Linked DNA regions of Cricetulus griseus. The protein of the gene in region 2 purifies or fractionates together with the protein of the main gene of each other region. This does not show direct contact. Links are inferred from orthologs where the notes say so. Each region holds a gene or a part of one and is shown on either strand. Other genes may lie near its edges.

The links.
Region 1: the proteins of Rad9a (region 2) and Rfc5 purify together in Homo sapiens (affinity purification with mass spectrometry; 3 studies listed by BioGRID and IntAct, with this or other methods). This does not show direct contact. The link is inferred for Cricetulus griseus from reciprocal best matches to the Homo sapiens genes RAD9A and RFC5.
Region 3: the proteins of Rad9a (region 2) and Hus1b purify together in Homo sapiens (co-immunoprecipitation; 3 studies listed by BioGRID and IntAct, counting the BioPlex papers as one, with this or other methods). This does not show direct contact. The link is inferred for Cricetulus griseus from reciprocal best matches to the Homo sapiens genes RAD9A and HUS1B.

The regions. Positions count from the first base shown.
Region 1 is NC_048597.1:97,330,505-97,334,253, reverse strand, and holds the start of Rfc5 (replication factor C subunit 5), read left to right. Parts: upstream 1-1,177; 5' UTR 1,178-1,270; coding exon 1,271-1,329; intron 1,330-2,416; coding exon 2,417-2,481; intron 2,482-2,944; coding exon 2,945-3,081; intron 3,082-3,561; exon of another isoform or gene 3,562-3,749. UniProt on the Homo sapiens protein: Subunit of the replication factor C (RFC) complex which acts during elongation of primed DNA templates by DNA polymerases delta and epsilon, and is necessary for ATP-dependent loading of proliferating cell nuclear antigen (PCNA) onto primed DNA.
Region 2 is NC_048596.1:55,048,927-55,052,675, forward strand, and holds the start of Rad9a (cell cycle checkpoint control protein RAD9A), read left to right. Parts: upstream 1-1,058; 5' UTR 1,059-2,213; coding exon 2,214-2,247; intron 2,248-2,327; coding exon 2,328-2,398; intron 2,399-2,828; exon of another isoform or gene 2,829-2,829; coding exon 2,830-2,958; intron 2,959-3,276; exon of another isoform or gene 3,277-3,307; coding exon of another isoform or gene 3,308-3,325; coding exon 3,326-3,440; intron 3,441-3,537; coding exon 3,538-3,637; intron 3,638-3,749. UniProt on the Homo sapiens protein: Component of the 9-1-1 cell-cycle checkpoint response complex that plays a major role in DNA repair. The 9-1-1 complex is recruited to DNA lesion upon damage by the RAD17-replication factor C (RFC) clamp loader complex.
Region 3 is NC_048596.1:251,682,156-251,685,904, forward strand, and holds the start of Hus1b (checkpoint protein HUS1B), read right to left. Parts: upstream 2,908-3,749; 5' UTR 1-2,907.

The DNA.
Region 1 (3,749 bases), on a different chromosome or scaffold from region 2:
GAGGCTACAAAGTGAGACCCTGCCTTAAAATAAAAGCAAGCAAATAATAATAATAATAATGATAATGATAATAATGATAATAAAGGCTTTATTGTGGATGTTATACACACTCCTTATAGAAAAGACAGAGCAGCAAAAGAGGTGAAAGTTGGGCTGTTGAGTTGGCTCAGTGAAGAGAGGTACCTTTGGCCAAGTAGCACAAACACACTAATTAATTAATTAAAATGAATTTGTTTTTCAAGACAGGGTCTCACTATGTAGCTCTGGCTGCCCTGGAACTCAATCTGTAGACCTTGAATTCAGAGATCCACCTTCCTTTCCTCCCAAGTGCTGAGATTAAAGGTGTGCACAACCATGTCTGGTGCTGAATAAATTTTAAAGTTGAAAATAAAATTGGTCTGAAATCCTCTTGATGTAGGGGAAAATAAATGTATATGTATATATACATATGTATATATACAAACACACAGATGTCTTCATGTGTATGTTTATGTGTGAGTGTGTGTATGTGAGTGTACATGTATGTGAATGTGTTATATGTATTCATGTTTGTGTGTATATATGTAGCTGTGTGTATTTGTGTGTATATATGTCTGAGTGTGTGCTTCTGTATGTGTGACTGCACGTGTTTATGTGTGTGCATAAGTGTACATGTATATGAATGTGGGGATATATATATGCATCTGTGTATGTATGTTTGTATATGTGATTGTATTTTCGTGTATATGTCTATATGTGTATGTGTATGTGCGTGCAAATGTGTTTATGTGTATGTGAGAGTATATGTATGTGACTGTTGTGCATATGTTTGCATGGATGTATGCTTGTATATGTAACTGTGTTTTCGTGTGTGTATTTGTGCGCACGCGTGTTTGTGTGCTGCTGGTTATGGAACCCAGGGCGCACTGCCTGTACCCACACCCGCGGAAGTGTTTCTGGCTGTGGAACCTGCTGCTCCATTGTGGCTTGCCCTTGCGCTGGCAGGATGTGGTCCTGGTGAGGCCCGCGGTGGCACCGGCTGCGGCGCGGCGCGCGGTCTCCCTGGACCTCCTGCGTGGCTCAGACAGCCCGCTCCGGCTGGAACAGCCAGCTGTGGCAGGGCAGCCGGCCGGCGCCTCGGGTTACCTAGCAACTAGAGCCCTAGCAACAGGGAAGAGGCCGGCCGGAGGCAGGAAGCCGGAAGCGGGAGGCGAAGCCTCGCGAGGATTGGTTTGCGCGCGGACTCTGAGTAAGGCAGGTCGGTGCCCCGGGCCCGCAGCATCTGTCAGTCATGGCGGCGGTGCCTCCGGAGCAGCGGCCCGCGGCGGCCCGGGCCCGGAACTTGCCCTGGTAGGAGCGGCCCCGCATCCTGCTTTCCGCCCTTCTTTCTAGAAGCTTTACGACCCCCTTCCCGCTCCCGGCCTGCGGCCCGCGTGGGCACTGCAGACACCCGGCCTTGGCGCCTCAGCCTTGCCTGCAGCCGCCCGCTCCCCCGCTCCCATACCCAACAGTCATGCTACCGAGGCCTGAGCGCAGCTTAGCCATCCTCTGATGCCTAGAGCATCGCCAATGCCCTTTGATGACCCTAAGAGATCGATCCTGACTTTCTTTAGAAAAGCTCAGAAACTGGGGGTAGTGCGTAGGCTTGCATTCGACCGACCTCAGGTATCCGAATTCAGCGCTTGCTTTCTTTTTTCCTTTCATATTACCTTTTATTTGTGGGGGAGGGGAGTGTAGCAGCGCACTCGTGTGGAGGTCAGAGGACAACTTACAGGACCGGGTTCTTCCCTCCCAGCAACTTGGATCCCCGGGATCGATCCCAGGTTCTCAGACTTAGCGTCAAGTACCTTTGCTTGCTGAGCCATATCGGGCCCCAGGACTTGCATTCTGAACGGTCCTACAGCAGCTGTCTGGCCATTCTTACTACTTTTCTGGTCTGTGTCCGAGGAGGAAGAATTGTCGTGGGCCACACATTAAAGTCACAGGAATGGAGTCACAGACTGTGACCTTTTGAGTCTGGCTTCTCCAACTCAAGGTTGCTCCATGCTGTAGCATGGCCTGGCTAAATCATAACTTACTTGTGGATATTTGAGTATGAGTTCTTTTCAAAGTCACATGCCTATCCAAGTTGAAGCTCAGTGCTGTTGACTTGGGGCCCACTGTGGGGGTGGAGCCCAATGTAGGATGTTCAGCCACTCCTGACTTCTACTCACCAGATGCCACTAACGCCCTCTGCCCACTTATTACAGCTAATGGCCTGGCAGATGTCTCCCGGGGGACAGAACCCACCACTGGTTGTGAGAGTCACTGGCTGTATTGAGATGGGAAGGGTTTCTCTTCCTCTCCTGCTTGGGATGTGAAGGCGTTTCTTTGCATGCGGCAGAACATGGCTTGCATCTGTATATGCTGCTGTAATTTGTGTTGAATCCCATTTCAGGGTTGAAAAGTACCGACCACAGACCCTGGCCGATCTCATTTCTCACCAGGACATTCTGAGTACCAGTGAGTATCCCTGTCGGTTGTTGTCCTTGTGGGAGGGCTTGGATACATTTGGTGTTGATGCTGTCTCTGCTAGGAGACAGTGTAAAGGAAGGACTGGACTTTGTAGGATGGAGTGTATTGGTTCCTTTTCCATAACTGCACTAAAATACCTCCGAGGACAAATTTTTAAAGATAATTATTTTTATTCTATTTTTTGTTTAGGTGTTTTGTTTACACATACATGTCTGTGTATCATGTGTGCCTGGTGCCTCTAGAGGCCAGAAGAGGGTATTGGGTCCTCTAGAAGTGGCATTGTAGGCAATTGTAAGCTACAGTGTAGGTGTGTAGGTGCTAGGAACCTGTAAGAGCAGCAACCACAGGCGGGCATTGGTGGAGCACACCTTTAATCCCAGCACTCGGGAGGCAGAGGCAGTTGGATCTCTGTGAGTTCAAGGCTGACATTGTCTCCTTACTCCCGCCTTAGTTCAGAAGTTCATCAGTGAGGACCGCCTGCCACACCTACTTCTCTATGGCCCTCCAGGGACAGGAAAGACATCCACCATCCTGGCCTGTGCCAAGCAGCTGTACAAAGATAAAGAATTCGGCTCCATGGTCTTGGAGGTGAATGGGACATTCTCACTCCACAAGTAGCTCAGACCTCCAGACTCTTAGCTTTCATTCCACTAGTTTTCTTTACCTTCCTGGCCTCTGTGTCCTGGTTGGGTTTGGCCATCGAGATCTGAGTGGGGGCAGGAGGGGTTAAATAGAGATGTTATTTGGACTCACTAAGGTGTTAATACCGGGCAACCTCCACTTCCTACAGGGCTCAAATCAGAGGCCGTGCCCTCCCCACAACCTGTTCTACCTGCCCACAGCTCTTGTTAACCCCCCCTAGATTTAGGGGTGCCAATTAATACTGCATAGCCCTGTAGCTTCTCTAGAACTGTGGTTCTCAACCTTCCTAATGCTGTAACCCTTTAACACAGTTCCTTGTGCTGTGATGACCCCAAACATAAAATTACTTTCATTTTTACTTCATAACTGTAATTTTGCTAGTTATGAATCGTAATATAAATATTTGTATTTTCCAATGGTCTTAGGTGACACCTGTGAAAGGGTCTATTAGATGTCCCTCCAAAGGGGTCATGACCCACAGATTGAGAACCATTGCTGTAGACTCAACAAACACTTTTAAAATGTCAGTTTCTTCATCTGGATCATCTTAGATTACTATACTGAGATATGTAGTCTGTGGATGTTGGGACCTTGGCTGATAATCTTAATACCCT
Region 2 (3,749 bases):
GCAAGTGCTCTACTCAGAGATACATAACAGTCCTTTATTTTTCATCTATTATTAATGTGTTTTTAATTATTTAAATTCATTTTATATGCATTGGTGTGAAGGTGTCAGATCCCCTGGAACTGGAGTTACAGACAGTTGTGAGCTGCCATGTGGGTGCTGAGAATTGAACCCAGGTTTTCTGGAAAAGCAGCCAGTGTTAACTGCTAAGCCACCTCTCCAGCCCCTTCGTGTGTTTGAGAGTGCTGGCACTTGCTTGCCACAGAGCAATTGTGGAAGTCAGAAATCAGCCCTTTCCTTGTTCCACCATGGCCTCTGGGGGTAGAATTCTTTCCTTTTGTGGGGGCTGTTTTTAGAGACAGGGTTTCTCTGTGTATCCTTGGCTGTCCTGGAATTCACCGTGTAGACCAGGCTGGCCTCGAATTCACAGAGATCCTCCTGCCTCTGCCTCCCTGGCCTAACTGTGACACATATTTAAATGAACTTTTTGTTTTTGTTTTTGTTTTTGTTTTTTTGACAGAGTCTTGCTATGTATCTCAGGTTGGCCTCTCAAGTTCCCAGTCTCCCTAGTGGTAAGAATTAATTTGAGCCATCATCATACCTGGCTTAATACCTATTAATCCTAGGCTGTGTCTGAGGTACACAGATAGAAAAACAAAACAGAAGCAATCACTGCCCACATGCAGCTGCCACACTATCAGAGAACACAAATACTAAACACATAGGAAAACTGATAAGCACCATGGCTACAAAGGGAACCATTGCTGCTGAGCCCAGGAAGAGAAGCCAGCGTGAAAGAGGCAGAAGGCCACAGCCTCAGAAGCAGCTCAAGTGGCCATCAAAGGGCCTGACAGGACTTTGGAGATAGGTGATCACAGGGGGAGACATGGATGGGGTCTGGATCCTGCAAGTTCAAGATCTAGAGACTGGACTCTGGCCAGGAGAGTTAAAGCAGTGGAGGCAGATCACTGGGAACTGTGTGTTTGACCAGGTGAAGGAAAGGCAGCAGAGATGAAGAGGGTGGGAGGGGGGACGGGATGCTGCCATCTGTTCTGGAGATGAAGCAGTCAGGAATTACTGAAGAACTGAGCAAGTGGGGAGAGGAGGACTCTAACAGCTAATTCCTAGTCTAATGAGCTGAAGGCTTCTACATTTACACTGGTTGCCTTGGATGTGGAAAGGGAAAGCAACTTCCTCCTAGGAGGGAGGGAGAGGAGCCCAGAAAAACAAAGAGGGCCTGGGTAATAAACAGAGCCCCTCCATTACCCACAGTACCACAGGGGTAATGCAAGGGGCTCCAGGCAGCCCCTTCCACGCTTGAGGGAACTAACCCAGGGCAAGTGAATGCCTTCCAGCTGATAACCCTCATCCTTTCACACTGTCTAGGGTAAATGGTAAAGTGCACACATATCATGTGTAGTGCTTAAACCTTCCCAGAGCTTCCTTCCCAGTTACTGCTTCAGCCCCAAACCCCCTGCAAGGCTCAGGACACCCCACCTACCCATATGCCCCTACTCATAGAGTGCCTCACTCCACTGCACCTCCTGTCAGGTCCATCCTACCCTTTTCTGCCCCAGAACCTGATCTTTCCATGCATTTACGTAGATCAGTGAAACCAGAATGAACAGCCCCTTCCTTCGCCTGGCTCTTGAAGCAAGTTAACTTTTGTGGGGAGCTGGTGGTTGCAGCCACGACAGATTGCTCAACCCAGATTGAGCGCGGCCTGTCTTGCTTTGACCCTGTAGCCCCTTTTAAGTTAAGGAACCGGGAGGGTCTACTCCTCCCAAGTTTGGACTCTGATCCAAGGCTTGATCCTTGGTGCAGCAGGCACCTTGCTCCTCGGAGCTTCGTCCCGTGTGCCCAGCGGAGCCCAGTGGAATTGCAGGGCTTTGCAAGGAGTGGAAGGTTAGGGTTGGGAAGGGAAACCTAGACCTGATGAATGAGTCAGGAGCTGACTCTGGAGTCACGTGACAAAGGCCACGCCCCGGGAACTGACTGAATCATGTGACACCCGGGCCAAGGAACGTTTTTCTCACGTGACGGAGGTGCCTTGGGTGGACCAATAAGGATGCCGAGGCTGGGCTGGGGTGTGTGTGTAGGGGACGGCGCGCGGGAAGGGAACTGAAGTCATCCGTAGTGGCCGCTGGGACTCGGTGTGGGTCGTGTCCTGTCCCGGTATGGTTGCAAATTAGGGTCGAGTTCAGTGCTGGTGAGCCATGAAGTGCCTGATCACCGGCGGCAACGTGAAGGGTGAGTTTGGATATACCCGGCGGCGGGGCACGTGAGCAAGCCGGAAGAATCTCCCTAATCTTTTTCTGATCTCCTCGAAGTGCTGGGCAAGGCTGTCCATTCGCTATCCCGAATCGGGGACGAGCTCTATCTGGAACCCTTGAAGGACGGGGTAAGAGGCTCGAACTCAGGGGTGAGGGCGATTCAATGGGGAGTGGGAAGCCTAGACTTGGCGCTGGCTCTCGGCCTTGCATAATGAGGGTGGGCAGGTATTTTGGCGGAGTTGTTTCCTCTTGGGTTTTGAGGGCATCAGTTTGGGCCTTGTCTTCCGAGGCTGCATGTGTGTACAGAGGGAACGTGCCCTCCCTAAAGTGACAGGCAGGGTGGTGCTGAAGTAATTTAGGGGGACAGCAAGCATGGCAGATCCTGGGCCGCAGACACTGGAAAGTTCACATGCAGGAGGTCGTGCTACACAGAAGAGAGAAAGGGAGTTTCAGTAAGCAATGGAAGAGGACGGCCTCAGGATGAAAGAGCAGGCCATTAGGCTGGGGTGGGCCTGCTGTTGCCCCTAACTCCTATCTTACTTGTTTTTTTGTATCTTAGCTCTCTCTAAGGACTGTGAACTCTTCCCGTTCTGCCTATGCCTGCTTCCTCTTTGTCCCGCTCTTCTTCCAGCAGTACCAGGCGGCTTCCCCTGGTCAGGACCTGCTGCGCTGTAAGATCTTGATGAAGGTGAGGACCATCTGAAGCATCTCCACAGCTGTGCCTCTGTGCCAGGGTACTCAGTAAATAATTACTAGGGAGTTAGCCTCATATGGGAGCAATTCCATGCAAAATGCAGTGATGTAAAGATGTCTGCAATTTAGAGGTTTGTAAGATCTGTGGAGAGGGTGGTGACATGCAAGTTAGTCAAGAAAAGGTTAGCAGCCCTTCCTGCAAAGGGAAAAGCATGGACAAGGCCTGGAAGTGTACAGACATCCTGCATGTAGTGGGAGCCCCATGTAAAGCTTTGCTGGGCCAGTGATGGACCAGGACCTACATGGAATGTAGAGCTGGTCCATGGAGGCACAGTGCCAGGCTGATGTCCTACCTTGCCCAGTCCTTCCTGTCCGTCTTCCGCTCTCTGGCGATGGTGGAGAAGACTGTGGAAAAGTGCTGCATCTCCCTCAGTAGCAGCAACAGCCACCTTGTGGTCCAGCTCCACTGCAAGTATGGTGAGCACACAGCTGGCCAGCCAAGAGTTCCCTCCATGGGTGTGGGGGAGTGAAATGAAAGTTGTCAAGCCCACTGAGACCCTTTTTCCTTATCCAGGGGTCAAGAAAACACACAACCTCTCCTTCCAAGACTGTGAATCCCTGCAGGCTGTCTTCAACCCAGCCTTGTGCCCCCACTTGCTCCGAGCACCAGCACGGTCAGTACACCCTCCTTCAAGCTTAGCCTGAGTCTCTTCCATCTTTGGGGCTTTTGAGTGTCATACTGGGAATGCACCATTTTCAACAGGCATGGTTTTATGTCTGTCATCC
Region 3 (3,749 bases), about 200 Mb from region 2:
CAAAGAGACTGGCTCTGGCATGGGCTTTTCAACCCTCAAAGTCTGCCAGCAACAACACACCTCCTAATCCCCCCAAACAGCTCATCAACTAAAACTAAGAACACATATACACGAGCCCATGGGAGCCATTCCCATTCAAACCATAAACTCTTCATGGCCTCCATTTGTCCATGGGTAGCCTCAGGATTTCCTCTAACATGCTCATCTTTCTGATGGTCAAACTATTGAGGGTCAAATATTTCAGATGTTCATGCATCACAGACACAAGGGAATGTATGCTTCTGTACTTACTTATGTTCTAGCCATTAAAAGGCAGGGACCCAGCAACCACCATATACAGGATGACTCCAAGACTTGCTGTATCTACCACGGGGCCCCTGTACTTTTTTTCCCATTAGAAGGGGACCACAGCATATGGTACCTAGCTTGCTTCTAGAACTGAACACATTACAGACGCCAAAGTCCATGAGATGGATGTTAAGGTCAGCATCTACTATAGCTTGGATGTAAAATGTTCCACAAAAGTCGATGTGTTAAATGCTTGATGTCCAGGGTGGTGCTACTAGGAAGTGAAGTAGACCTTTAGAAGGTGGGGCCTAGCCCTCAGGCCACTGGGGCATGCATTCAAAAGGACCATGGGATCCTCGCCTTTGTTCTATTTCTTTCTGCTCCCTAGAACATGAGAGAATTGGTGCTGCTCCTCCATGCATGCCTGCCATGATGTGCTGCCTGGCCTCAAAACTTCAAGAATACAAACCAAAATAACCCTTTTCTCTTTGTAATTGGCTCAGGTATTATTGTAGTGACAGAAAGCTGACCTACACAGATGAAAGGGCAGGTTGTTGGTATGGGAAGGATTTTGAAATGGGATGAAAGTTTAGGATGGGATGGAACAAAACGATGACACAGAATGGGATGATACAGAATGTTGGGATAGAATGGGAAGTAGGGATGGAATGGAATGTTAAGATAGGATAGGATACAATAACGGAATGAGAAGCAAAGGGATGAGCGACAACACTGGAATTAAATGGGGTGATAAGATGAGATGGAATGGAACAGGATGGGGCACTGATCTCTTATTATATCAGGTACTATTGCAATTAGAGCCTTTGACATGTAATTGTAGTTGTAAGCTGCTAATTCTCACATCTTTGTCATACCTAACCATGATTGTAATGTTTGTTTGTTTTTTTCTCCAAAATGTTGCACATAGTATGACAGTTAACCCAGTGCTAAGCAACCATGGAGAAGCAACCGCTATGCTGACAGAAGTGAACTTCTGTATCTACCTATTTGTCTCTGTATGTGTACAGCAGCAGTCTGCCATGCGGTAAGTACAAGAAGGAGATATGTTAGGGAATTTCATATTAATTTTTTTTTTATCTAAAGCTTTTCCTTACTGGAGGAACACACGGGAGTGATATCCAAGTTTTTTGTGCTCCAGAACAGAAACTGAAAAGTATTTTTATAATATTTATATTATTAAACTTTAAGAATAACCTTTACAATATACTCAAACTTTAGTATATAAGGGCAACCTAAAACTTAAAGGTATTTTAATGGAATGTGTGTGTACTGAATTAAAGTTAAAAACCAGAAATATATATTACGTCTTAAAATTCATATTTACCAAAGAAAGATTAACAGAAAGAAGTATCATGCAACTGTATGCTTTTTTTTTGAACTGTATGTATTTTTATTGGTAAGTTTCTTTTTAAAGCACAAGTCTCTGACCAATGTAGCAAGCAAGCTCTAAACTGCAGCAGTATATTTTAATATTTTCAGCTATTTGGAAATTAAAGATGAAATATGGTGGTTTGAATGAGAATGGCCTCTATAGACTCATATATTTGAATGCCTGGTCCCCAAGTGGTGGAACTGTTTGGGAAGGATTGGAACGTGTGGCCTTGTTGGTGTCACTGAGGGGCAGGCTTTGAGGTTTCAAAAGCCCACAACCATTCCCAGTTATTGTGCAATTTCCCTCCCTCCCCACTTTTCTCCCTCCCCCATCCCTGCCCCCTCCCTCTCTCTGCCTCATTGCCGCATGCCTATCTGCTTGCTCACATGCTCCCTGTCATGATGGCCATGACTCACCCTCTACATTGTAAACAACAATAAACTCTATCTTCTAGAAGTTGTCTTGGTAATGTCTCTCAACAACTGAAAAGCAAATAAGACATAAGTGCTGGAAGATGGCTCAACTGAGCATAAGGACCTCATCCAGATCCCCAACCCTTGTAAAAAGCAGGCATGATGGTATGTACTTGTAATGCCAGTCTGGAGGTAGACGCTGTCTCAAAAAGTAAAGGTGAAGACCAAAGATGTGTGGTGTCAACCCTAGACATCTATACACACATACACATGCATTCACATATATACATATGAGACAAAAAATATAAAATGAAATTCTTTTACTACTTAGAAGTAGAAAAGATTTCTGAGACCTACAAAACCCTTAGGATGAGGAGGGACAGAAACTTTCTAATAGTTTTTGAAACTGTTTGCAAATATATACCATGATATAGCATGAAACTATTTGCAAATACATACCATGATAGAGGCCGATAATAATGAGAGCTTTTGAAAATGTGTTTGCAAAATATAGCAAGGTTTCACTTACTAGAGGTCACAAATAATGAGATATTATGCATAAAGGAAATTTCTAAGAGGCTTTAAACTTTAAAAATGCATCTATAATTTTCAAGTTATTTTGCCTAAGATATTTCTACACTGCATTTGCCTTTCCTATTCAATAAATTCCAGGCTAGAAATGTGGCTCAGTGGTAGAGCATTAGCCTACCATAGACAAAGTTCTGGTTTTAATCTCCAGCAAAGCAAAAACTAAAAAATCATCACAAAATACCATTATTTATTTATTTATTTATTTATTTATTTATTTATTTTTAGTTACCATGAACATTAATAACTGTTCTGGGCGTGTTCCTAGATTTCTGCTTCAGACTGCAGTGTTTAACAAGCTTGTTTTATTTTTATAGTCTTGCTTGATGTCAGACTCTTACTGATTATTAAAACCAGGGTACCAGCCAGCCTCTGCCAAGTCTCTCAACTTCTGCAGTGTTCCTGCCTGATGGCCACTCTTCCCGGCTCTCCTGCTCCAGGATGGGAGCTCTGATGATGTTCATGATGTTCAAACGCCACTCAGGCCTCTCTCAAGTCAGGAAGAGCCAGAGTATCTTGTTCTTCTCGTCCCAGACTAGAGTTCTCCACTGCAGCAATAATCCAAGTTTGGACAGGACTAAACGTTGTAGTAAAGGTTGTTCTGTGTATGGCAAGACATTCAATAGCATAGCTAGTCTCCATACACGATGCCAGTAGCTCAGCTGCATGAACTGTGGAGAATTAAGCTGAACACAGAAGCAAGCAGCATGCTCACATCCATTTCTCTCTGATTTTAGCTAGTGGTGTGATGAGACTAAATGCTTCAGGTCCCTGCTGCCTTGACTTCTCCACAACAATGGACCTAAAAGGAATGGTGAACTAAAATAAGCCTTTTTCTTCTACGTTGCTTTCTATCAGGGTATTTTATCACAGCAACAAAAAAAATGGCACTAAGACACAGCTGAAGACCAAGCACTCACACACAAACCTGTAGGTAAAACTTGAGATTCACAACACATTACTGTCCCTGAAATTCACATGGTAACATCATGACCTTTCTGAAATCATGCCTTATGTTTCCTTTGGTCACAGAAGAAACCTAACTCCTGCATCCCACATGCCCAGAC